Linked DNA regions of Coturnix japonica. The protein of the gene in region 3 purifies or fractionates together with the protein of the main gene of each other region. This does not show direct contact. Links are inferred from orthologs where the notes say so. Each region holds a gene or a part of one and is shown on either strand. Other genes may lie near its edges. The genes, in order: EIF3B, PDCD4, EIF4G1, MKNK1, EIF3A, EIF3J and EIF3I.

Region 1 (4,138 bases), on a different chromosome or scaffold from region 3:
GACAGAAGAGAGGAAGGGAAGGGAATAGGAAAGGAAAGAAGGAAGCAAAGGAAGATAAGGAAGAAGGGGACAGGAAGGAAGAAAGGAAGGAAGGAAAGGAGGAAGAAGAAAAGGAAGAAGGAAGAGGAGGGATAGGGATGGATGGGATGGAGGAGGAGGAGGAGGAGAGAGGGGAGAGGAGGACGGAGGAGGAGGGAGGAGGAAAGGGACGGGAGGGGAAGGTAGGAAGAGGGGAATGGAGGGGAAGATGGAGAAAGGAAGAAGAAGAAGAAAGGAAGGAAGGAAGGAAGGAAGGAAGGAAGGAAGGAAGGAAGGAAGGAAGGAAGGAAGGAAGGAAGGATTAAAATGTGCTGTAAAGTAAGAGAAAGTTCAAACAGATGACAGGGAAGAAAGACCCAGCATTCAAATTTGCTGATAGCTTGTAAACAGAAAGAAAGGTCATATAGAAATCTGTCTATCCCAGCAATGCAGGCAACTGTGAGGAGCTGCAAAAGCCGAGTCACAAAAGGACAAGCCGTATAATGGTGAGGATGCAGCTGGTGCTGTGGGTTGCAGCACAGCATGTCCTCCTATCTGGATAAAAAACGTGCTAGTAAGCAGGACAGGCAGCAGCTCTTCCTTTACTTCCTACTTGCTGCTGAAACCCAGCAAGTCACAGCCCGGCCCAGTGCTGTCACACAGCGGGGCCAGTCATCATTTCCATTCATAAACGCGGCTTCAAGAGGGATCCGACGCTCACAGCGCTCGGATGGAGCTCGGGTGGCACCTTGTGGCTGCCCGATAAATCACAAAACGAGCTTTTCCGAGCGGCTTCTGATTAAATCCTCAATAACTGCTTTTTCCCTCCAAAGCCATCGCTTAAACCTGACGGCATCAAAGAAAAGCCCTGTGTTCTCTGTTTGTGGATGTATCACCGCACACACTCGGACGTATCTTTGCATCGGGATCAAAGTGTCCTTGGTTTAATGGTTTAATGGACACAGAGCTCAGCTCACTGAGCCGGCGATGTGTTGGCAGGGCCGGGCCGGGCCCAGCATCACCGCCCCTCCATCACGAGCTGTGGTAGCGCCCGCCATCGCCCCGCCGCCTTTGGACGGGCCCACAGCGGTAGATCCGCGGGGGGGAAGGCGACAAGATTCGCTGTTTCCTCCTGCCCGGTGCAGGACGTTTGATGGCCTGAAGTGCCGGCACCGCACGGAGGGTTCGGTCGCCGCCCGCCCGGTTGAGCACAGAGACACGATCCGCTTTTGGCCTCCCGAGAAATGGTTCGGTCCAACCCCACCTCAGCGGACGGGCAGGAGCCGCCATGTTGGGCTGAACCATAAAGCAGTGCAGCAGGGGGAGCCGCAGCCGCGAGGGCTCGGAAAGGACGGACGGCGCTGCTGGCCGAGCAGGAGGGGTGAGCGGTGAAGGAGGCGGCGATCGCTCTGGGGAAGAGCAGGGAGAAAGAAGCGGCGGGTGGAAGCTCCATCGGGCAGCGCTGCTCTAACCCGGCCCCCCCCTCCCGTTGGTAGCGGCGGCTCGCGGGGCCTGGCGCACATGGCCCGGCGGTAGGAGCCTCCCCACCCCTCCCCCGCTCCTTTTCCCGTCGCTCTCGAGCTGGGAACGCGCGGCCGGTGGGGCCTCGTACCGACCCCATGCAGGGCACCGAGGACAGCCCCGCGCCGCCCGGCGCACAGGACCCGGCCGAGGAACCCGAGCGGGCCGACGGAGCGCCGACAGAGCCGCCGCCTCAGCAGCAACTGAAGGAGGAGGAGGAAGGGGAGAAAGAAGGGCCGGAGGAACAGGGCGGCTCTGAGGGGCCCCCTGAGCCGCCACCCGCCGCCTCGGAGCCCCCCGCCGAGCCCCAGCCGCTTCAGCCGCCCTCCCCTCAGTCGGCGTCCGGCCGGGAGAGCCCCTCGCAGGCCGGGCCCGAGGCCGAGCCGCCGTCGGAGGAGGCCAAGAGCGAGTCCCAGGCCGAGGCCGAGCCGCCAACCGAGCCCTGCGAGGACGGGGAGGCCGCGCCCGCCGAGCCCGAGGACGAGCTTTCGTTCAGCGATCCCGAGGGATTCGTGGACGACATCAGCGACGAAGGTTTGTGCGGGGCCGGCTCGGGGCGGGCTGGGCTGGGCCGGGGCGCTGCGGGAACGTGGGGAGGCCTCGGCGTGTCCGTGCGGTTGGTGCCGTCAGCGCTGCCCTCCTGAAACGGGGCGATGAGCTGCGGGTGTGGAGCAGCTCGGGGTCTGTGAGGAAAAGCTGGATACTGAGTGTCATACAATGACCCAGCCGTCGTTTGGCCCCATAAGGCGTTATGGCAGCAGCTGTCTTTGGTGCTTCAGTATTTCTACTGTTTCGGACAACTCTTTCAAGATAAACCGTGTCAATTCTTGAACAGCAAATCCATTTGTCTGTTGTGCCAGTTCTTACTCTGACGTAAATGCTGCTGTAGGTTCTGTAATGGTTACACGTATCAGAGCTGGAAAAATGCCTCTTAAAGCATGTACTGCTTCCTGAGTCAGCAGGTGGTTTGAATTGGTGGCGGAATACAAGTGGTAATTGTGCTTTCTTGTGTTCCATTCCTATGTTTAGCTTAATAAATAAGTGGAGAAGTATTTTGAATTAAGAAAGTGTGTTATTCTTAGTAGTGTATATGGCACTTTGAGCACGTGTATCTTAGAGACACTACCAAAAGTGTCTGCAGGTTTATCACTGGATTCTTGTCTAGTGAAGTGTTTGCTTTGGATGCTTTCTCTACATCGGGGATTATCACATTCATGTCAGTGTTTAGATAGAACCCAGAACATTTCCTGTCTTTTTTTCTGTTCTGTTCTTTAGGATTAATTTGGTTGACTCTTCATCTGTATGAATAATACAATGTTAGTGGCTGAATTACAGCGTTTAACTTTAGTCACTCCTGCTGGTCTGGTTTTCTATCTGCCTGTTCTACTTCTTGAGCTGCCTTATTCCTTTTCCTTTACCCTGATAACTCCACAGGACAATCAATTCCAGGCCATCAGCATCACTGATTCAAGGTTATTTCCATATTCCCACATTTATGATAAGAGTTACGTGTTCAGGAACAATTCTGAACCAGTCTGGCTTTAAGATTGGATCATCTCAGGTGTTAGTTTGACTTATGTTGGTTTTTTTTTCCCAGAATGGTGTTGGCACAGCAGAACAGCTGTTCCACCTTCCATAGAAGGAATGTGTCAGATCATCGCCCAGGTGCCATGAAGCTTTAGTTCAGATAATGAGAGAGGTCCTTAAAATTCTGCCAGCTGAAGATAGCCGTGCACCCACCACACCCCTCTTTTCTGGCCTGTGGGAATAGAGCTGGCTGAACCAGCCGCTGCCCTTTGAAGGTTTCTTTGTTGGTAGTTTTGCATTTAAGGTAGAGGAGATACACAGTGTAGGTATGTGTTTAACCTGTTAGAGTTCTGATTTAGGATAGAATGTCCTCTACTTCCATGTTAAGCTAAATAAGCATTCCTTTCTTTTATAGCCTTTTGTGGGAACTGGCTATGAAAAAGAGACTCTCAGAGCTTCAGGATTATCGTTCTCTTTTTCCCATAAGATTTTGTGGAAATAACCTGGTTCCTTAGAGGACATGTTTCCATATTACATGCAAGAAGAACTAAAGATATAAAGATTCTATAATTAAAAAATATTATTTTTCTATAATATCAGGTTTTGAAATTCCTTTTTTCAGTCCTTAGAGTTTTTGTAGATGCTTCCCTGCCCATCTGTTAGCTCTCAGGCCAGAGGTTACCTGTCAATGGCTTCAGTGTATGTGTGTTGTTAGCTAGCTGGGTAATGGCAAGATATCCTAATATACTCTAAGGTGTTGTATGTGCTTAGAAGTTAACTTATTTGCAGCTTCTTATTTCCTTTCTTCTGAGTCTTTGGCTCATACTGGGTGAACTTTCATCTTTGTAGAAAGAAGTTGAGGGGAAAGCAACCCAAATGTGTTTAAATTCTATGTTACCCGCGGGGTTAAGTTTGTGGATACAAAATAATTAAATGGAATTGTCTTGAGATACAGCTTAGAGTAAGGTATGCAGAAAATTCCACAGGTAAACTGTGTCTAGAAGCCTGCTGCTGTTTTTGTTGCTCCTAATTTTGTGTGTGACATAGGGCTGTACTGTGTGCCTTTCAACTG
Region 2 (3,500 bases), on a different chromosome or scaffold from region 3:
AAACAGCGGCAGTCAGACGTGGATGCAAACATGGAATGATCACTTATGGCACTTATAAAAGGTAGCTTATCTGAAGGCACCGCCACAACGGAGCGGCCAGTTGGTCTGTTTGGATGCCCAAAGAAAGAACTTTTCTTTCTGAAATCTATAAAACTCTTAAAAAAAAAACAAAAACAAAAAAAAAAAAAACCAACTGATCTGTACCCAAAACACGTGCTCTTAAAAATATAGCAACTGTGCTAAGCAACTCGTAGAAATTTGGTATACAATACATGCATATACGTATATACAGGCACACGGACCAAAAAAGGCCTGTGTGTCTGTATATATCTATATAGATGCCTCTCTTTTGTCTCTTTCCCTTTCAACTTCTAAGGCTTCAGCAGTTGGTTCCGACATTCAGTAGCTTTCTAGTTTCAGCCGGCCTCCATCTCCTTCACTCACAAAGCGCTTCCTGCCCCTGGAAAACAACACAAAGTCTATTATCAGCAAGTCTGTGGTAGCATCACTTCTGTCAGTGGGAAGAATCTTCTCTTGGTCTCGAGTTAAATGTGAGGTGTGTGAGACTGAGCAAAATGATGAATCAGATAAAGAATCCTACACTATGTTATTCTCAAGAAGCTCTTCAGATTTCTCCTGTCCCTTTAACACTGAACATTACCATCTGTGCTTCCAAAAGCTGCTCGCTTGAAACCCTACAAATGACATTTTTCTACCCCAGACTGAAACACAAGCTCAAAACTCCTGTCTGTATATTCCTGAGAGCTGAAGCATCATGAAGCTTTTGTTGCAGCAATGACTTTCGGCCCTACCGAACCCTCAGTGCAAGCTGATGTCGAGATTCAAACTGGAAGATATTGAACAGACAGCATTTCTGGTGCAGAATATCATGGATAGTTTTAACATCGACATTTACACATCAAACTTAAAGGTTGTATTCTGACCAATAATACAGAATACCGAGAAGCTACAGTTAAGCAATAATAAAGCAGAAAACTCTACAATATTGGATGTATCTCACAGTTGCCTTTTTTAGTGTATGTAGAGCTTTTGCCACAGAAATGCCTGGTTGCTTTCTGACAAAAACCATGAGAATTGGTGTCTAATCCCAGAACTCTTATTAATTCAGTTTACAATGTTTAAACTGCTTTAAAACATGTTCTTTTTTCCCCTCCAGGTTTGTCTGCATCATTAAAACTCCTGGATCTTCCATCTCAGCACTGCGCTGATCTCTGCCAAGTGAGCAAAACTGAGAGGAGATGCAGGCCTTCATGTGCTGCAGCAGTCAGACACGCTGCCAGGGATTCCAACAGCAGCTTCCTTCCCTCACATATGTATCAACCCTGTTCTCTTTGTTCCTCCATCTCCCCTGGTCTCTGTACCAACCCGTCACACCCAGGTTATAAGATCCTGCTTCCAAACTGAGCTCCAGCACCTCTCTGTAATAAAACAAGTACCTGGAAGGACAAAGGTCTCTCAGTGGTTTGGAGATGATTCCAGCCTGAAAACATTCCTCCACAAACCGCTCGAGCACAGAATAGGAGTGTGGCACATCCAGGTTAATATCTGGTATTTCACAGTAAACTCGTTCGTAGCCCTGTAGTTTAAGAAAGCAAATAATTATTTGGTTGTTCTAAAATTACAATTTTTTAACCATCTTTTTGCACTCAGATGATGGCTTTTTGAATGCAGTTTCATGTATTCTTTAAGCTGTTTCAATCAACTGAAAGCAAAACACCTGCAAATTATACCTTGCTTTGCCACTAATACCAGCCAGTTCCAAGAGCTGGTGTTGCACAACAACACATCTATATGAACACACTGGCTGAGCATTTTAGCTTCTTAAAGTCAGAAATCCAGGCAGTACAGAATGTATACGACAGCCCAGCTGCCAGTAACACAAGGAAGAAGGATTAATTGCTCTGCCCTGTAGATAGAGGGCAGGCCACAGATCTCAAGGAGAGATGCAATAAATTACAACCAGTACTTAAAAGAAGATAGAAGCTACTTGAAAATCTTACCCAGCATTCTTTCAATGCCATACTTACTCTTTTCATTTGGTCCATAGTAATGACAGAAGACCTCGAGAGAGATTTCAGCAAATCCAGCATCATTTTAAAGGTCTTTTCTCCAGTAGACTCCAAAACCATCACGATTGCCTAAAACAAACCATGCAAGGCTTTTAATTAAAGGAAAACAGTGGTTTGAGTGCAGGTTGTGTATCAAAGTGCAAAAAAAGAGTGAATGTATTTCTGGGGAGACAAGTCCATTTGCTACAAGCAGTTCCAATTCCAGAATATTGTTATTTGAAAGGAAAGCAAAGCCTGATAAAAAGTTATTGGCATAAAGCTGAAAGGTATGAGAAAAGAGGAAGGACTGGGCAGAGTAAAGAACACTGCCTTGTTGGAGGGATACATAACTGGATCTGCATGGTTGCTGCAGCACAGATGGCAATTAATTTTGTATCCAACCATTTCAAGTGCAAACCAAAACTGCCTACTAGATACAGCAAAGATCTTTCTTGTATAGTCTGGTTCTGAGTTATCTCAGCCTTCTACAGAGATACTACATGGAACAATTCCAGCCTGCAAAGGAAACTATATCTTAACAAAAACAGGCAACACCCATTAGAATGCCCAGATGTCTGAAAACTGTTGTAACACGTAATTAAAAGGAAATAAACTCCAATACAACCTAGGGCTTTTGCTGGTATTCCTCAGCAGAAAATAAGCTAAGCTCTTATTTTTCAGGTATCAGTAATAGTCTGAACACAGCTAATTACCCAGCAAACAAAATAAAATTCTGGATCTTCCCAGAAGGACCAGCAGCTTATTTATTACACAACATACACACAGTGAGCACATAAACCATTAACTTTACATGAAGTAATTCAGTTACTTAAATAACATCAAAACTTGAAACTGAGCTTCAAGTTCCAGCTAAATGCATACCCACATCAAAACAACACCCGGCAGTCATTAAAGGGACTCATTTCTCCTTACTTCATATACAAGTTCATGGTGAAAATGGGGTACTTCCAGATCCTGAAGGCAACGTTCAGCTTCCAGCAGGTCTCCAGAAAGCAAATATTCTTTCAGCAGCATATCAATCTATTGCATTTTAAAACAAACAAAACCCATCACTAGTTAGATACAAGATTTAAAAGCTGCCAACTGTTCTGCTGATTGGTGATCAATCTAGTATCAAGCTAGTTCCTCAAACCTACAGCTAGAGTTCTAGTAAATGGAATTAAATTGAGATATGGGCAGGACCCTCAAACATACTGTAAGCCAGATACGTCTTTCTGTAACGTAACACAGATGTGCTACCACTAAAACTTTGCTTCAAGTGATGACTGCAAGTTTATCTTCTTGCCTGAACTCTTTATCATCTGCTACACTCACAGCTCAAGAGAATATAATGTGACTATTTATTTTAAACCTTCTGCCTACTTCGTAGCACAGATCTCCTAAGTTTTCTCAGAACTTCCTGACTTTTAT
Region 3 (3,500 bases):
AGGCCTGACCAAATTCCTTCCCTATGAGACGCGGCGTCCCTGCGCCGCCCCCACACCCAGCCGTGCCCACCGGCTCCAGGACACCGCCAGTCCCTCCGGGATGCTGAGCCATGCTTGGGTGCAGGAGCCCTGGCTCCATGGGTTCTGCCTTCCTGCCAGCAACCTTATCTCTCCTGGGCCAGCAGCAGCCTAAGGGCGGCTCCACACAGCCCCATCCACGCCCTCCATTCATTCACACCCTTGGGCTCCCCACTCAGACCACTGTGAACTGAGCTCACAGCACTGAATGATGCTGAGGGCTGGATGCAACACTGGGCCCTGATCCAGACCCCAAAAGGTGCTGTGTTCCTCCCCAAGTTATCCATGCAATGAGCTTCTTAGGTAGGGCTGGCATCAGCCAGGGCTGCATCGTGCCCCAGGCTGGAAGCGACTGCAGTACCTGCACAGGGAGGGACAGGGGCAGCTGTACCCTGGCCTCCTCCCACCTCTAGCATTTCTCAGCCACACTGAACACAGAACTCACTCAGTGACACACTGACAGCCACTTTGCCCCCATTCTGGTGACCCACGCGTGACACAAAGCCAGCCTGCCTGCCCAGGGAAGCAGCTTGGGGTTGGGGCCAGATGTTAGGGAAGCCATGAAGCCACAGAAGAGGACCCCAGTGATAGGCTGGGGGAACATCAGAAGGGCCTCAAATCCCTCTAGTAGCTAGGGGGATGGGGAAGGAGGAGACCCTAAGACTGCAGGCTAGGGGACAGAACCACCCAGCACGCTCCAGGCACTATGGAGCAGTGCAGCAACAGGCCGAGTGCTGGGACTGGGCCCAGCTGGCCATGCCTGGGGCCACCTCCTCCCTCCGAGGGGCTGATGGGACAAAAGGGAGGGAGGACAAACACATACCTGGCTCAGGAGAAACCCCTCTCCGCCCCAGTTTGCTTTGCTGCCATACCGGGGACGGGACGGAGGCCTCAGCTCACATTTCTGAGTCTGCCAGGCCTCCCGGGAAGGACCAAGCCTAAATATAGTCACAGCCTGGGTGGCTGCATACAAGCCGGGGGAAGGAGGGGGGGCTGCTTTTACCACCACTCCCCAGCTCCGGGAGAGGGCAGGCGTGGAGCAGTCACTGCCCAGACCCTGCTCACCCAGGACATGCAGCTGGCTCAGGCAGGGGAGGCAGCACCAAACAACCACTCACCACCAGCTTGCAAGCCAAGGGGAAAAGGGGATAAAGTCTGCCCTGTCCCTCTGCCTGGGCAGTTAAACATTAATCTGTCCCGATTTGGAAAAGGAGGTGGGTGGACAGATGGGACACGATGCACGGCCTTCAGGAATGCACTGGGAGACATAGAGCCCCCCCTAAGATCCCAAAAGAGCACGTAGTGGCGTCAGCAGTCACAGAATGCACCTCACAAAACCCAGAGACACAGGGAATTTGTGCTCAGCCCACCAATTTGTGGGGTTGCAGGGAGGCCAGAGTCAGAGGAGCAAAAGGGATGAAGCATCGTGGATGGAAGAGCAATGGCACACAGAGTAATCCCCCCAGTCTGTACCGTAAGTCCCAAACTCTGTGGGGCTGGCTCCAGGGTAAAAACTAGGGGCACCAGGCTGAACTGGGTACTGTTGTGTTGGGACAACGTACGTTGAACGACCCTGAAATAGGGGAGAAGAAAGTTGGTTATATTCCCAGCAGGGCACAGGCAAATACCAAACCAGTGCGTGCCCCAAACCTGCGTGCCATTAAGGCAGGGCACAGGACACAAGACAAGCATCAAGTACCCAGGGTTAGCCCACAAAACCCCACAGGTGCTGCCCCTCTGCAGAGCTGGACAACACCCTGATGGAGTCAGGGACAGCTCAGAGAACCAGGGTAACCCCCTCCACCTCCCAGAACAAACTTGGGCTCCAACCCTGAGCCCACCCCAGCCCAATCCCGCAGAGCCCGGGGCACAGCCCTCACCTGTCCGGGAATGTAATAGGCTCCTTGGGAAGGTGTGTAGGATATCTGGGAGGGTATCATCATCACCTGGGAAGCAGCTGGATACACATGGGCAGGAGGGCCAGGCCGGGCCGTTGTGTTGCTCTGCACGCGGGACGCGCTGGCAGGAGGCTGGGCCCTGTTCTGGTAGAAATGCTTTGGGAGAGACAGGGATGCAGTGAGGCCAGAGCAATAGCACCCCCCTGCCAAAGGGACGAGGCAACCGAGCCAGGCCCCCCCTCTAACCCAGACAGAAGGTTCACAGCACCTATCACCCCAAAACTCATCCTAGGCACAGGGAGCACCCCTGGGTGGAGATTTAAAGAGGGGAGCCCCCCCACCAGAATGCAGCTCACCCCTTACACCCCCTCCCCTCCTTTCCAGGCACCCCCTACTGCCCCACACACCTGTGGGGGGCCCACCTGGCTCCATCCGACCCAGCTCATGCCCAGCACAGCCCACTCCCAGCCCAGCAGGGCCGGCAGCGCCCGGAGCCGGCCACGGCTGCACGCAGCTCATCGGCACGTCCCAGCGTGCCTTGCAATGGGGGCCGGCACTCGCGCTGAATGCCGGGACCTGCAGTCCCACTGTGCCATGCTGCAACGTGCAGGACACGCAGCCCCTGCAGCACTGCTTTACTGGGTGGCAGCACCCCAGGGCTGGGGAACAGGCAGCAGGGAAGGAGGTGTCTGCACGTCTGGTGTGCAGGGCAAGGCTGGAGCAAGGAGAAAGCATTACCTGGAGAGACCTGAATCCTCCCTGATAGCAAGTGCACGCAGACAGAGGGAGAGGGGAAAGAGAGAGAGACAGGAGTTACACTGCCGCGCTGGGGTGGGATGAGGGGATGGGGTGGTGAGAGGGGACGGGGTGGGAGTGCAAGCGTGGTGCTGTGGGATGGAGGAGCAGCAGCCAGGCTGCCAGTGTGATGGCCACATCCCAGATCCACCCATGCTGGGGGACGCGGGGAGCTGCCTGCCCCTATGGAGGTCCCTATGGAGCCAGGGGGACCCAGCACAGTGTGGATGTCACTAGGTTTGTGCCCAGCTGTTCCTTGGAGCTGAATGAGGCGCTTTGCTCAAACTCCCAGGGGCAACAGCTGCAGCGTTGCAGGCAGGATGCAGGGGGACACATCCAGCTTGCTGGGCACAAGGCCTTGTCCACCTCCTGGCACTGTCAGGTCCCAGCCCCACCATGGCTGCAGCCTCCCACAGCCTAAGGGACATGCTGGGTACACTGCAGAGAGACACTATCACTCCCAGGGCACTGCATTAGTCAGGGACAGGCCAGCAGTGTGACACAACTGCTGCCTCAGGAGACCCCCCCCACACTCCACCCCACAGAAAGAAGGAAGAAGAAGATGAGGAGAAGGGCACAGGCAGAAGCAGAGGCCTGGGCTGGGACTAGCACAGGCAGAGCCACATGCACTAGACTTCATGCAAAAGCAGCCAAGAAACTCGGGGACACCGCAGTGAAACCCCTCCAGCTGATCCCACTGAGTAATGAACCTCTTTCCTCCAGCCTGCT
Region 4 (3,887 bases), on a different chromosome or scaffold from region 3:
AGTTTTGCAACATTCATGGGTTCAAGGAGTATGTATCCTATTGTGTTTTTAAGGGTCATTTTTCTTCCTGAGTTGTAAACAAGCTGCTCCTTCTCTCTAAATATTTAGGAGAGATATTTCATGTTTAGTGCTCGTGTCTTGATTAATTACATTATATCCAGTGGTTTTATTCTTCCCGTAGCTCTGTGTGGTAAATATTTGGATGACTCTGTCAAGCTTTAAGTATTTTTTTAATTTGCTTTATGCATTTTAAATAGCTTTCCTGTGGAAACGAAGCACTGCAGTGCGCTTATTGTGATGTTACTCTCTAATACAATGCTGCAGAATGCTGGTAGGTATGGTTTTAAAAGAACAGCAGTATGCTCTTTTGCTTTAGTTCTTAGTTCAAGAAAGAACAGATGGGGCCCTCTGGAGAGCTTCTCAAACTTTTGCATTGTACCTGCAAACGGTGGTCATGTTCTGTGATGGGAGAGGTGGATCAGAAAATATCAACAGTGGTTTGTAAACCTGTGGTGAAGCAGTTAATGTACCATATCCATTAGTTGTAAATCTGAGGGGGTTACCTGTTGTTCTTTGAAATCATTCTTGTGAATGTTTGATTCCCACCTACTCACACATAACTAACTTTTCTTAACTGCTTCTTCTAGCAGGCTCCTGAAAGGGGACTGCCTACCCCTCAAGTTCTTCAAAGGTAATCTTTTTTTCACCTTTTTTAATATCTATAAGGTTGGCTAGGAGTTGTTACTGAAGGAATGGGAGGGGCAGGAGGTGGCAAATGAGCGGGTAAGATCCGTGGTTAATAGTGGAACTATGTAAGTGTGGCAGCACTAATTTTGTTAAGAGCATCAGAAATATTAAAGCTGTCATTTTTCTTTATAATCTAATCTTACTTGTTTGTGGGAAAGGCATTGGAGAGGATTCCTGTGGAGCATGGCTAATCTTAGGATGGAAATAATCATGGTTTTGGCAGTTTGCTGCCCAGGAGGCAAAAAGAGGCATAAAGGCGTGTGTTACCCAAAGAGACTACATTTTGATGGGTGGGTAATCAAATGTACAGACCCAGATCTGACTTCCATTGAAAATGTGGTAATCACAGTAGCAATTTAACCATGAGCAGGAGAAGCTTTGTATTAAGTGGTTTGATGGCAGATTCTGGATGCTGTAGGGCCTGAGTCACACTTCTCTATTTTCATGTCTGCCACTGGCAATTCCAGGTTCTTCCTATCCTCAGAAATGCAATTCCTGCACCCAGATGTGCAGTTCTAGTGGGACTGCAGTTCTCTGAAGAGAAACAGTGTTGTCCCACATGCCTCTCCTTTCTTAACATGTAGAAGCTGAAGCACAGTGTTGCAGGTGGATTCCTGGGTTTTCCTGGGGAGTCCTTGGCAGACAGAGGACTAAAACTGTGTCTGTTTCCAGAATCTCAAAGCATTTTTATTATGTATTGCTGGTTGCCACAGAGAGATGCAAATATTAACTGGTCTTATTGCTTACCGTGTCACTGTTTGGATAGGAGAAAAAAAAAAATGCATGGAAATGCATATTCTGCTGTTAGGGTAAGCAGCCAAACTTATCCTCTTTGTATGTGTTCTAACTGCTTTCCTTTTTTCCCTTGAAAGGAACAGTAGCACAAAAGACCTGACGCTTTTTGCTGCTGAGGCTATAGCCCTTAACCGCCAGTTGTCTCAGCACGAGAACGAGCTCAGCGCAGAACAGGAGAGCGTTGCCCAAGCTGTGTGCTCCATGAAGCTTTCTCCTCCATCCAAATCCCGGCTCGCCAAGCGAAGAGCAATGACACATGCCACCAAAAACTGTGACTTCCAGCCAGTTCCCCATAAAGCCTTTTAAACTTCTTTCCTGCTACAGATTGGCGAGATCAGCCTGTTTTATTAGGTGGATTTTCAGTACTGATAAAAGCTTATCTGCTTCTTACTCTTTGAATAGAAGCTTGCTCTTTGTGATGTGCTTCATAATGTAAAGGGGGTAGCTTTTTATGGGAATGTTTTTGCCTGTCAGATTTGGTGCATTAAGATAATTTAACTGATGTTTTTAAACTAGAGAAGATGGTTTTGCTGCTGTATTATCTGAGGTGATGCATCACAAAGCTTTCATGTTTTCTTCTTAGAAGAGCACACTTTAAAATTCAAGCTTAAAAACATCGGGGAAAAAAATACTTTCTTGCTTTGCCTGGCAGAGCATAAAGTTTACATATGTTTGCTCTCTTTGATGGCAAATCCTGCAAGGTTGCTGCTGCTACTGTCAGCAGCAGGGACTGTTTTCAACCAACAGTGCCCATCTCTCTTCTTGTAGACTCAGGAAACAGAAATGATGACTGGAGGGTGGATCTTTGTCTCCACTGCCTTCACTGGGCATAAATGTTTAGTGAATAATATTGTAAAGGTGTAAGGAGGTCTCAAGCTTGCAGAGATGATGAGGACCTTGTTGCTTCTTTTTATTATTATCCTTGTTGGTAGTTTGTGTGTCTGCATGTGGGACGAAATCTGGAAGTGTTACTTCTTTTTCTGACATCTTGTTCTCAACTACAATGTACTGTAACAAAACCATGACAATATTATACCAGTTCTTTTTGTCCATTGTCCCCTTCTCTTACAGTTACACTGATAACCACGTTATTACATATTATTATGCTTAATATCTGTTTTGCTTTGTACGTTAATACTGTTGTCCACTGTACCTTCCTTTCTTCCTCACGTTCTTCCAAATCCATTTGTGTGCATTACCTGCAGTTCTTAATGGACAGGCTTGAGTAAATTTTGGTACGTGAGTGATTTAGGATTATCAAATCTGGAGGTACATCTGTTGAAAAGCATCTGTGCAGTGATCTCAGGCTGAGGGACTAGATTTTAAGTACCAGTTTTAGTACCGTGATGCACCAGGGATCAGAAGTTATTTGAAAGGGTATTGGCTGAAAAGCTGAAGATTTTGAGTGACCAAGTTGAGGTGTCCGTTGAGAAGGATGCAACTGTTGAGCACTTTCTAAAACATAAGCTGTGAAAATAGGGCTGAGATGCCCAACGTGATGCACCTTAACCTTGCCAGCCGTTTGTTTGCTTGGGCATTGTGTACAGGCTGAGGAGGGTCCCCAGTGCAAGCATAAAGCCCTCCCAAGCAGAATGAAAAGGAGTTAAAGTAGCTGATCCAACAAGTGCTTGGAAGTTGAGTAGTCAAAGCTGAATGTCTTTGTATGTCCTATTCAGAGCAGTTTTACATTCTTTTATCAGTGTGCACACAGCTATTTTTATACAACATTCTGTATTTTGTGACTAGTATTAAAGTTCTTATTTAAAAGGTTTTCTACGTTGTGCCAGTGATGATGAAATGTATGTTGCTTTGTTTTTATTAAAACGTTTTAAGCTTTGGATTTAACACGTTTGACAGTTCTTCTGTGTGGTTTTTTGCTGTTGATTTTTGGTGACTTTGGGAAAAAGAATAATCAGGAATTACTTCTCTATGGTTACTCTTGAGAATAAGCATAGCTGTCACTCCTTGACTGTATTATTTTATCAATCTCAAGCAGGACTTGCACTAAACTTTGTCTGATGATTATGAGAGCCCTTCAGCTGGTGGCTCTGAGTCCCATGGTGCTTAAAGCTGCCTTGTGGATGCTGCCAGCAGCTGCCTCCACGTGTGACCTGTATTAGAGCATCCCCTCTGATTCATACTTACAAACTCATCTGTTCAGGGCTTGAAGCTGAGATGTTGGGCTTTTAACTGCAGAGCTAAAATCTGGAGTGCTTCTTCAAGGCTGTAACTTCTGGCAAAGGAAAACAAGCAGCTGGTTGCAGTTTATGCCAGAGTCATGTAAAATTAGCAACTAAGAAAACTGCCCCAAAACAAGGAAGAGGCAGTCATTTAAGCCAATTGTT
Region 5 (3,500 bases), on a different chromosome or scaffold from region 3:
ATGAAACATTTTAGTTACATATTGCAGAAGCATTTAATGCTTCTGTTTATATGCTTCAGATTTAACGCATTAGCTTGCAGCTAAAAATGTCTGGCAGGTATTGATTTCTTGTGGAGCAGGTCTGACATGCACGTAAAACTAGGACACAAATCCTCACAGTTACAGAGCAGCTGATTGTCTTTTGCAGCAGTCCCCAGAGTACAGGATTCCAGTGTATCAGTGTATTGCAGTACTCTCAGTCTTTTCTTTACCATGACTCCTGTGGGCATTACTGGAGACAGTACTTAGCTTAGTGACAAGGTAGAATGCTATCACTACTGTTCAGTAATGTCTGATCCTTTTAGTGTTACAGAGCTAAGCATATTCTAAAGATGAACTGATGGCTCAATAGCCCAGTGAAAACTCTCATCAATGCTTTTTATCCCTGCTACAACCTAGTAAGGAGAATCCCTGTAAGTCATCTTAGTCTGCCAGAGCTTGCACTTTGCTTGCAGTTGGGCAGCAGTAGTTGTTCTGCTGTACCCAGTTGTGTGTGTTTGTCAGTGAGAGCATCACCAATCTGTTAAGGGAAAACAGGGATGGGATTTTAGGGTTGGTGTGTTTGTGGAGATGGGGGATACTTCATGACCATGATTTGTGTGTTTGTGTTTGTGAAGATGGGGGATACTTCATGACCATGGTTTTTATTTTTAACGAGTTCTTTGAGATACAGAGTTTGTCAAATTAAGCTTGATGAAGAAGCAAAACACCTTCTCTGTTTTATTGCAGTAGATGGCCAAAGGAGACTACTAAGCAGCTGTAATGTTTAAAAGGATGATAAACTGTTCAGTATTAACTGAATCTGTTAAGGAGCTGACCTATCACTTTTGTATAGCACTCAAGGCAATTAGACCTTGTGCGTTTGAAAACTGCAAGCTCTGTAAATGTACTTGCAACCATACATCAGGTTTTCAGAAGTGATTTTGATGGGAGTCAGCAACACTTGTCTTACATGCAGAGCTTTCCTAGATGTCATTTTCTACTTGCTTATTCCTTGTGGCTTTATAGAGATTGGCGCCGAGGAGAAGCAAGAGATGATGAAAGACCTTTCCGACGAGGAGATGATCTACCCCGACGAGGGGATGATCTGCCCCGACGAGGTCCTGCAGAAGAAAAGGAACGGCCTTCTGTGGAATCAAGTGAGGACAGGCCACCTCGGCGTGAAGGGGATGAAGACAGACCACCTCGGCGCGAAGGGGATGAGGACAGGCCACTCAGACGTGGTTTGGATGAGGACAGACCCCCCAGACGTGGCTTGGATGATGATAGAGGGAGCTGGCGGGCTGCAGATGACGATAGGGGTCCCAGGCGTGCTTTGGATGATGACAGACCCCCCAGACGTGCTTTGGATGATGACAGACCACCGAGACGTGCATTGGATGATGACAGACCCCCCAGACGTGCATTGGATGATGACAGACCACCGAGACGTGCATTGGATGATGACAGACCCCCAAGACGTGCATTGGATGATGACAGACCACCGAGACGTGGCTTGGATGACGACAGAGGCAGTTGGCGAGCAGCAGATGATGACAGAGGACCCAGGCGTGGGCTGGATGATGATAGGCCGCCCAGACGGGCTTTAGATGATGACAGGCCACCCAGGCGTGGGCTGGATGATGACAGGGGCAGTTGGCGTGCTGCAGATGACGACAGGGGTCCCAGGCGTGGGATGGATGACGACAGGGGTCCCAGGCGAGGTCTGGATGATGACAGGGGACCGTGGCGTAATGCAGATGATGACAGGCTCTCCAGACGAGATGATGACAGGGGGCCATGGCGTAGCAGTGAAGATTCAAGACCAGGTCCTTGGAGACCATTTGGTAAACCAGGTAAAGCAGAATAATGCAATGATTTTTTCCTCCAAAGCATAGTTAAACCAGCAGATAGTGGATGTGATATGTTTGACACAAGAGGTGGGAGAATCATCTCTGAAAATGTCGGGAGTAATTCTGCTAACATGGACTCTCCTTTACTTAGGATAATTAATCGTTTTCGTTTGGTTCAATTAAACAAACCGTGTATGGCCAAAATCTAAAGGTCCCATAGTATTTGGTGGTATTTAATTGATGCAAAAAAACAAGATACACAGGTTTAATGCTTTGATGGAGGAAGAACATTTTCACTAGTTGAGTGCACCTTGATCTCTTTCCCTACCCAATCTGGAATTAATCTGCTATAGGAAGGACTTTGATGCATCATTGCATCACTCAAGTGGGTCTGGTTTGGATAAGGTTTTTTTCTTTTTTCCTAGATATAGAAATACTCCTATTTTTACCATACTTTTTTGGAACATCTTCCACTAAGTAGGATTTTAGATGAGATGACCTTCTGAGGTCCCTTCCAACCTGAATTATCCTACTATCCTATTCCTATGTGGTTTACTTCTAACCCAAAGTAGAAGTGTTGGTAACCATTACTTGTTTCTGATTGTGTTTTTTTATTCACATTTGTATGTTTAGCATCTTTTTATTTTATATTTTTACAGGTGCCACATCAACTCTTTAGACATCAATTATGTCATTTAAACCAGTACTAAAATTATCAGAAATCATTATATTTGCACTCCAGTAGCTTTTTCCTATGGAAAAAAATCCCAAACAATTGGCTAAACAGTTTATGGGAGAGAAGTAAATGCATCTTTGAGGAATTAAAGTTATTCATATATTCCTTTGACTTCATTGCTTACAGGGGGATGGAGGGAACGCGAGAAGGCCCGTGAAGACAGCTGGGGGCCTCCCCGAGACTCCAGGCCTCCTGGAGACCGTGAGTGGGACAGAGACAAAGATCGTGATGAGAATGAGAAAGAGCGTGAATTTGACCGAGAAAGAGATTTTGATCGAGATGATCGTTTCAGGCGTCCCAGGTTTGACTCCTTTGTGTAATTAAGAAATAATACGACTTCACGTAGTGAAATGAACTGTTGCTGATGTGTAAGAAATGGAGTTCTTTGAGGTAGTAAATGGATAATGATGTCATGGTTTGTTGTTCTTAAAATACTAACAGTGAATCCCAGAATGCTTTACTGCCTTTAAATATTTTGTTTTTTTCCCCCTGTACATTGTATTTCATGCTGGGCACCAGAAAAGATTTTGGAAGTCAGCATATTAAATAGAGACCCATCGCAACTGAAAGTATCAGTGTCATCATCACTTCTTTCTGCAGCAAAGATAAAACATTAACATTTAGTATCATTTTTCATTTTGAATGGCAAAAGGGATGACGCTGGTTGGAGAAGAGGACCAGCTGAGGAAACATCTAGCTGGAGGGATTCGAGTCGTCGTGAAGAGTGGGACAGAGGTGGTCGTGACATGAGAGATCGCCGTGCTGATGACAGAGAACCACCACTGAGAAGAGGACCTCCACTCAGATCTGAACGTGAAGAACGTATGTTTGTTTTGTTGTTTCTAAAGGCTTACAATCATTACAGGCACTCCACATTATCCTGGCAGCCTTAG
Region 6 (2,434 bases), on a different chromosome or scaffold from region 3:
TCTCATACCTCTACAGTCATGAGAGGACTGTGATGATGGGAGGGTATGTGAGCACAAAGTTGATGAGGAATCTCTTTTTTTCTTTTCTCTGTAGTGGAAATTGATGATTTGAAGAAGATCACGAATTCATTGACGGTACTATGCAGTGAAAAACAGAAACAGGAGAAGGTGAGACACAATCCCACAGCTGGATGCAGCTGAGGCAGCTCCTGCTGAAGGTGCTCAATGCCTGCACTGCACAGCAGGTCCAGCGCTGACCTGAACTGCTGCTGGGGTTGTGTGTGACAGTAGGTGACGTTGTAGTCCTGGATACTGATCTAAAACACCCTTATATGTGTGAGGTCAGCAGGAGTTCTATTAAGTCAGAGCACAGGCCAAAGCCTTGGCTGGTAGACTGGAGCTGAGCTGTGTGTTCACATGGTGCTGTCATGGCAGTGAAGAGGCCCAAGTCAAGGCATCACAGGGCAGCAGGGCTACAGCATCAGGACAGCAGAACAACTGCAGCCTTAGGCCGAGTTTGTTGCTGGGGTTTGGAATAGCTGACGGTTGGGGTGTTCCTGTGCTCTGGCAATGGAAGGAGCAATGGCTGCATAGACATGAAAATGAGGTGAGATAATAGCTTAACAGATGCTTATGTGGTACAGAACATAACAGTAGGTTTTGGAGAATAGATTTAAAACCTCGGGTTGGTGGAGATTCAATAATGAGTTGAGCTGTATAGACAGCAATGAAATTGAAGATATCACTAGCAATGCATTTTTCGGAGTGTTAAATCAGGTTAGAGGACGGGTTCGTAGTGGAACAGCAATGCAGGTATTTGCTCCTCTGGGCTCTGTCTAATCAGAAGGAGGACAGACTGCTGTGGCTGTGTCACTAAATCCACTCTCCTTCCTTTTCAAGCAGAGTAAAGCCAAAAAGAAGAAAAAAGGTGTTGTGCCTGGAGGTGGATTAAAGGCTACTATGAAAGATGACCTGGCTGATTATGGAGGATACGATGGAGAATACGTACAAGAGTTTGAAGACTTCATGTGACATTTATCTCCCCTTCTGTTGTCTTTCTGTTGCCCATAACCCCTTAAACATGTAGCACAACTTCTCTTTCTTTAAATTCTGCCAAATGCTGTTATCAAGGTTGCAGTCTCTGTGCTGGTGGCTCGGCGCGGCAGGCGGTGCCCAAGTGCTGCCCTCCCTGTTCTGTGCTCGAGGCGCTGGAAGGAAGCAGCTCAAAAGCTCCAAAATTACAGGGGAAAAAAAAAATAAAAGGAACAACCCAAAAACCCACAAACCCAAATCACCGAATTCTGCTCCCAGAAATGGCTGTTTGATTTCACAGACAGCCACCAAATTGGAAATGAATTTCAAAGAGGCCGAGTATTACCGGCCCTCTTGTACGACACGGCCTTAACTGAACCTCCTTGAATGAGTTGTTTGATGAGCAGACGCTGTTTGCAGCCATGGGTGTGCACTTAGTATTACAGTTGCTTTGTCTTAGAGCTTGAGGTTTTCAGTGTATTGTGAAGGGGAACTGCTGACTTCAGGAGTGGGAGTCGCACGGCTGCACAGGGTGACGTCCACACAGCAGCGCTGGGAGAGAGCAGGGAAAGAGCTCCAGGTTTGGGAAAAACAAAACCAAAACTCACGCCATGATGGTGAGTTTCCATTCGTCTGCATTTCTGCCGGTGCCGCTGGCCGGGTCGGGCCCTTTAACAGTTACTGCCTGGTTTCGGTGTAAAAAACCAAACACGACTTTGGTCTCCTGGGCTGCGGTTGCTCTTTCATGACTCGGCTATTTTCTTTCATTTAAAAACAAACAACTTGCTTAGCAAACTGCAGCAGTTACTACAGTGGGGCAAATTGTTACGTTAACAATTACGACATCCGCAATGTTTTATAAAGCAACTAATTTAATAAAAATCACTATTGTGAGGACTTCACCACAGCGCCCTTTGGACCCTGTTCTTTCTGTGTGCTGCTGTTGGGGAGCAGAGCTTCATCACCCACCATGGCAGCCCTGAGCTCCAGGGAAGGCCTCGTCCCCACGGCTGCTCTGTATGAGCGTGGGAAGGAATCCATAACTGAGCAGAGCACAGATATTCGGTTCTTATTCTCTCTATTGGGTTCTGCTCTCTTGGAGCTTGTTAAACAGGAGCTGGGCTTAAACCTCATCACTAAGCTGGAAAACAGAAACAAGCTGATCAGATTGGAACCAAAGACGACAAACAATGGGTTCTCTGTAGCGTGTAGGAGCCAATTAATTCTGCTCGTTTTATCGTCAGGTTCAGGATGTTTTACTTTGTTTTCCTGCTGGTTGAGGTGCAGTTCCTGCTGCGATCCCTGAGACCCACAGCCAGCAGTCGGTATTTGAACAGGGTAGGATTTATTGTACACAACACCTTCAGGTTAAGACAGCAGCAGCATTCTAAGTACTTACAAC
Region 7 (4,066 bases), on a different chromosome or scaffold from region 3:
TTCCTCAGAGAAGCTCTGCAATTCTAGTAACTCTCCAAATGCTGCCAATAGCAAGACGCTCTGGGAGCAGGAGAGAACTCCAAGTGCAGACTCAGCCCTGCCAGAGAAGAGCACCAACCTTGCCTCAAATTTGCCAATCCTGGTGGAGGTCGTGGTCACATCCATGGCCTCCTGCCCACCACCGAGCACAACCTGCATAGGAAGAAAGTCACAACACTGCAGTGCTGCTTACACCATATGTGGAACAACAGCCAGGGTAGGAGGGAGCCCAGCCTTGGGGAAGCCTCCCACTAACCCAGCACAGCCCATGACAGCAGTCAAGTCCCCTGGCCCTGTCCCACAGTGATTCTTTAGCTCAGGCTGAACTGGTGACACTGTGCCTTCCAGCTGCCTGAGACAATGCAGGAGCTGCACTAAGACCGTTAGTATGCGTGGGCTCATGCTTACGTGATCAAAAATGGGGGAGAGTGCAGCAGAGTTCACCGGTCGCTCTGTCCGGAATGTCTTCAGATGTTCCAGCGTTGTGCAGTCAAATAGCTAAAATGCAAAAGGAAGAGAGTGGCAGTCCAAGTATCTCATGCAAACCCCAGCTGCCAGTCCTCACATGAGCAGGTGTTACTTCTAAAGTCACTCCTGGGCATCCAAATGTCAAAGCTATTGCTCCAGAATCCCAAATATCAGCCCTCCCACTAAGCTTTGGCTCTACACCTGCTCAAATTCCCAAAGAGAAAACCACTGAGGCAGCCATGACTTTGAGCAGGGGTCCTGCAAGCGGATGTCAGCAATGCACCGCAGTCCCCCCAGGAGGCCTCACCTTGGCAGTGTTATCCTTGGAGGCAGTGATGAACATGGTCATGTCCCTGGAGGTCTGAATATCATTGATTTGCTTGGTGTGCTCCTTGATGTTTGAAAGCTGCTCCCCTGACTGAAGGGTAAACGAGGCAGTTTAAGTGAACTGGCAAGGAAAGTGTACAAACAACTTCTCTGCTAAAACCGACTTTAGATGTTGCTGTCAGCAGAAAGGTAGGCATATATATGTTCAGCTTTGCTGAAGAAAGCCACATACTTTAACTATCCTTCCTCAAGGCCACTGGTTTGAGCCAAAAAAACCCACATTCTGCCACATGATCACAACAGGAACGTTGCAACATCCTCTCCCAAGAGTTGCTGCCTGAGGGTGATGCTCCTCCTTATCACACTGACCTTGGCACTGAACTGGTTCAGCTCCCCACTCTCGTGTCCTGCGATGATGAATTCTCCCAAAGGGCCCCACACAGCACTAGTGATTTTAGAGTCGCTGCAGGGGATTTTCATGTAAGGCTCGTTGTTCTCTGCAGGAAGGAAGGATGGAGACACACAGACTGAGTGGCACCAGCTCTTGGCAGCCAACGCTTCCCCTTATTCCCAGTTGCAGGCACAGGCCCGGATTCCTCACCGATTTGGCTGGGGTCACGCAGGTCAAAGAAGCTCACAAAACACTGATAACCCATCTGCTTGTCCGTGGAAAACATGATGATGTTTCCTCCAAAGTCAAAGCCACACGTCCTCACTGCCGAGCTGGTCTTCACCAGAGCGAGCTGCTTTCCTGAACACGGAGCAGAAACCATCACTTCACTTGGTCTTGCATTGCAAACATTAATGAAAGCAATCAAACAGAAGTGCAGTCATAGAAAGAACAGGAGCATCAGAGCTGACAGACAGGTTGGGTGACTGGAAAGCACTAAATGTGCTTGGTGAGCAAAATGAATAAGTGCCCATTGAAAATAAGGCAAATACACAAACAGCCAAGAAAGGACTTGGGCTCTTTCAGGGGCAAACAGGCACATGTTGCACAGATCCCAGAACAGGACAGAGCTGAGTCAGATCCAGCCACGTGGGAGAGAAGAGCCTTTACCTGTTTCACAGTCCCAGAGCCGACAGCTGTTATCTGCAGAGCCAGTGAGCACATGTCGGGTGTCCCCTTGGTCAGCAGTTAAGGGATATCAGCACGTTTGCAGCCCCAAAAATCATTAGATACCCAGGGAGTATTTACACACAAGATTAAGAAGCTGCGTTACATTGAGAAATTACAGGACTTGGGAAACTTCCCAAGGAGCACAAATAACCAAGAGATGGCACAAGGGACAATTAAACACAGCAGCTGAATGGAGCCATCCGTGCTGAATCACTGCAAGGAACGAGAGCACAAACTGGTTGTGCACCCAAAGGATACAGTCAGCATCCACACACCACACGGCTCCTGTGTGCCCATTGTAGGTGCCCAGCCGTTCTCCATTCACCGAGTACCAAACGTTGACGATCTAAAAGAAGATAAAAAGGCTTGAAGAGCCGCTCTGACCAATTACCTGAGCTCGTTAATTACCCACCTTTATCCCTCCCCCCCCATCGCACACAGCCCGGTTTCCCGGTGCCCCCGGTTCACTCACGGGATCCTTGGCCACAGTGAACAGCAGGTCTCCCTCTCGGTTGTACTTGATCTGTGTGATGGATCGCTCGTGGCCCTGCAGCAGGATCGGCTTCTGCACGCGGCAATGAGGGAAGGCGCCATTTAACGCTATGCCAAGCGAGGCCGAGGCCCCGGCTGGGGCTCAGGCTGCCACCACCATCAGCCCAGGAGCCCCGCCGACCCCAGGACCCAGCCGGGACCCGCATCAGCCCGGCCCGGCCCACAACCCGACTCACCATGGCGGACACGGCGCTGCCGGAACCGGAGCGAGAGAGAAGAGGCGTGGAGTATCACGTCCGGGTCACGGGGCGCTATGGCGGCCGCCGGTGAGCTTCCGGGTTTGGGGGACGGGCCTCGGGTGGATCCCGGAGGGGCTGAGGGGACGGGGTGGGCTGTGTGAGGGGGCTGCGGGCTGATGGCGGCCGGGCCAACAGCCCCGGGGCTGAGCTGATGTTGTGCTGCAGGGCAGGCCGCCGTGCTGGTGCTGGTGTCGGTTCTATGGGGCAGCACCGGGCCGTTCCTACGGACGGGAGCGGCGGGGCTGTTGGACGTGCAGCGCCGGGGGCTCCTACGGCAGCTGCTGGCCGAGATCAGGTTCCTGGGCTGCAACTACAAGGTGAGCACAGCCGGAATCATGGGGTGTATGGGACGGGCCTTCATGCTCCTTCCTGCACTCAGCACCTCCCATCTATCAGCAAAATGATTTGTACTCTATAACATTTCATCTACCCACCTGCAGTCCTGCTCTTCTTATGGAGAACTTAGACACTTGTAGAAATTAACCCTCATATTTCACATTCAGACCTGCCTGCCTTCTGCAGACATGGCATCCAAGGCTTGCACTGCTTGCTGCAGGCATTGCAATGCTTTTCCATGCAGTGACCTGTCTTCTTTCCGCAGTACATGGTGCCATTCCTGCTGAACCAATGTGGATCGCTCCTCTTCTACCTCACCTTGGCATCTGCAGGTCAGCTCTCACTGCTTTGTCCAGTGGGTTGATCAGGGTTTGGGGAGGAGCTGTATTACTGATTCATTTGGTGATCTGGCTGAACATCAAGTATCATCATCATAGTATCACAGTCTGGTGTGGGTTGGAAGGGACCTTAGAGATCATCGAGTCCAACCCCCGGGATTCGAGCCTCCTGTGTAGCAGAGCGGCACTTCTACCACTTGTGCCACAGGGGGATTCAAGTAGATGTCTTTGAATGAAGGACGCATCCATTTCAAACCGTGTTACAATTGTTCAATTTCAGAGCTGTCCCTGGCAGTGCCGCTCTGTAACTCCCTGGCTCTGATAGTCACGCTGGTGACTGGAAGGATTTTGGGAGAGGATATTGGTGGTAAAAGTAAGTTACGCTTAAAACATTTGGCACGTTGTATTCTGCATCTATTTGTTGTTTTAATGTTGTGTGCTCCCTTCTGGTAACTGCTTAGGCAGTAGTTTGTGCAAGGAAGCTGAAAAGGAAGTGAAACTGACTTGTAAGGGGGTAGAGCTAGTGAATTTAAATTGGCTGGAACTGGCTGTTTTAAGCTAGCAGAACTTGTAGGCCTGAGCCTTCACCTAATGATGTATTTAACCATAAGAGAAATGTCCATACACTAACATTATCCTGCTTAAGA

What was found.
Region 1: the proteins of EIF4G1 (region 3) and EIF3B purify together in Homo sapiens (affinity purification with western blotting; 7 studies listed by BioGRID and IntAct, with this or other methods). This does not show direct contact. The link is inferred for Coturnix japonica from reciprocal best matches to the Homo sapiens genes EIF4G1 and EIF3B.
Region 2: the proteins of EIF4G1 (region 3) and PDCD4 purify together in Homo sapiens (affinity purification with western blotting; 3 studies listed by BioGRID and IntAct, with this or other methods). This does not show direct contact. The link is inferred for Coturnix japonica from reciprocal best matches to the Homo sapiens genes EIF4G1 and PDCD4.
Region 4: the proteins of EIF4G1 (region 3) and MKNK1 purify together in Homo sapiens (affinity purification with western blotting; 3 studies listed by BioGRID and IntAct, with this or other methods). This does not show direct contact. The link is inferred for Coturnix japonica from reciprocal best matches to the Homo sapiens genes EIF4G1 and MKNK1.
Region 5: the proteins of EIF4G1 (region 3) and EIF3A purify together in Homo sapiens (affinity purification with western blotting; 4 studies listed by BioGRID, with this or other methods). This does not show direct contact. The link is inferred for Coturnix japonica from reciprocal best matches to the Homo sapiens genes EIF4G1 and EIF3A.
Region 6: the proteins of EIF4G1 (region 3) and EIF3J purify together in Homo sapiens (affinity purification with western blotting; 3 studies listed by BioGRID and IntAct, with this or other methods). This does not show direct contact. The link is inferred for Coturnix japonica from reciprocal best matches to the Homo sapiens genes EIF4G1 and EIF3J.
Region 7: the proteins of EIF4G1 (region 3) and EIF3I purify together in Homo sapiens (affinity purification with mass spectrometry; 5 studies listed by BioGRID and IntAct, counting the BioPlex papers as one, with this or other methods). This does not show direct contact. The link is inferred for Coturnix japonica from reciprocal best matches to the Homo sapiens genes EIF4G1 and EIF3I.

The regions. Positions count from the first base shown.
Region 1 is NC_029529.1:3,185,052-3,189,189, forward strand, and holds the start of EIF3B (eukaryotic translation initiation factor 3 subunit B), read left to right. Parts: upstream 1-1,338; 5' UTR 1,339-1,637; coding exon 1,638-2,073; intron 2,074-4,138.
Region 2 is NC_029521.1:23,094,881-23,098,380, reverse strand, and holds the end of PDCD4 (programmed cell death protein 4), read right to left. Parts: intron 3,111-3,500; coding exon 3,003-3,110; intron 2,160-3,002; coding exon 2,049-2,159; intron 1,659-2,048; exon of another isoform or gene 1,598-1,658; coding exon 1,458-1,597; exon of another isoform or gene 1,178-1,457; intron 932-1,177; exon of another isoform or gene 722-931; intron 557-721; exon of another isoform or gene 461-556; coding exon 400-460; 3' UTR 286-399; downstream 1-285. UniProt on the Homo sapiens protein: Inhibits translation initiation and cap-dependent translation. May excert its function by hindering the interaction between EIF4A1 and EIF4G. Inhibits the helicase activity of EIF4A. Modulates the activation of JUN kinase.
Region 3 is NC_029524.1:13,914,605-13,918,104, reverse strand, and holds part of EIF4G1 (eukaryotic translation initiation factor 4 gamma 1), read right to left. Parts: intron 2,736-3,500; coding exon 2,715-2,735; intron 2,502-2,714; exon of another isoform or gene 2,423-2,501; coding exon of another isoform or gene 2,384-2,422; intron 2,133-2,383; coding exon 1,959-2,132; intron 1,652-1,958; coding exon 1,552-1,651; intron 921-1,551; exon of another isoform or gene 902-920; intron 1-901.
Region 4 is NC_029523.1:19,353,105-19,356,991, reverse strand, and holds the end of MKNK1 (MAP kinase-interacting serine/threonine-protein kinase 1), read left to right. Parts: coding exon 1-28; coding exon of another isoform or gene 29-32; intron 33-647; coding exon 648-691; intron 692-1,619; coding exon 1,620-1,848; 3' UTR 1,849-3,387; downstream 3,388-3,887. UniProt on the Homo sapiens protein: May play a role in the response to environmental stress and cytokines. Appears to regulate translation by phosphorylating EIF4E, thus increasing the affinity of this protein for the 7-methylguanosine-containing mRNA cap.
Region 5 is NC_029521.1:26,731,030-26,734,529, reverse strand, and holds part of EIF3A (eukaryotic translation initiation factor 3 subunit A), read left to right. Parts: intron 1-1,047; coding exon 1,048-1,874; intron 1,875-2,733; coding exon 2,734-2,908; intron 2,909-3,259; coding exon 3,260-3,429; intron 3,430-3,500. UniProt on the Homo sapiens protein: RNA-binding component of the eukaryotic translation initiation factor 3 (eIF-3) complex, which is required for several steps in the initiation of protein synthesis.
Region 6 is NC_029525.1:17,930,937-17,933,370, reverse strand, and holds the end of EIF3J (eukaryotic translation initiation factor 3 subunit J), read left to right. Parts: intron 1-94; coding exon 95-168; intron 169-900; coding exon 901-1,032; 3' UTR 1,033-1,934; downstream 1,935-2,434. UniProt on the Homo sapiens protein: Component of the eukaryotic translation initiation factor 3 (eIF-3) complex, which is required for several steps in the initiation of protein synthesis.
Region 7 is NC_029538.1:4,527,855-4,531,920, forward strand, and holds the start of EIF3I (eukaryotic translation initiation factor 3 subunit I), read right to left. Parts: upstream 2,801-4,066; 5' UTR 2,773-2,800; coding exon of another isoform or gene 2,760-2,772; 5' UTR 2,686-2,759; coding exon 2,683-2,685; exon of another isoform or gene 2,679-2,682; intron 2,520-2,678; coding exon 2,427-2,519; intron 2,301-2,426; coding exon 2,213-2,300; intron 1,961-2,212; coding exon 1,895-1,960; intron 1,586-1,894; coding exon 1,436-1,585; intron 1,332-1,435; coding exon 1,204-1,331; intron 926-1,203; coding exon 815-925; intron 538-814; coding exon 448-537; intron 193-447; coding exon 119-192; intron 1-118. Other genes in the region: TMEM234 (transmembrane protein 234), read left to right, coding at 2,760-2,772, 2,911-3,062, 3,347-3,413, 3,700-3,792. UniProt on the Homo sapiens protein: Component of the eukaryotic translation initiation factor 3 (eIF-3) complex, which is required for several steps in the initiation of protein synthesis.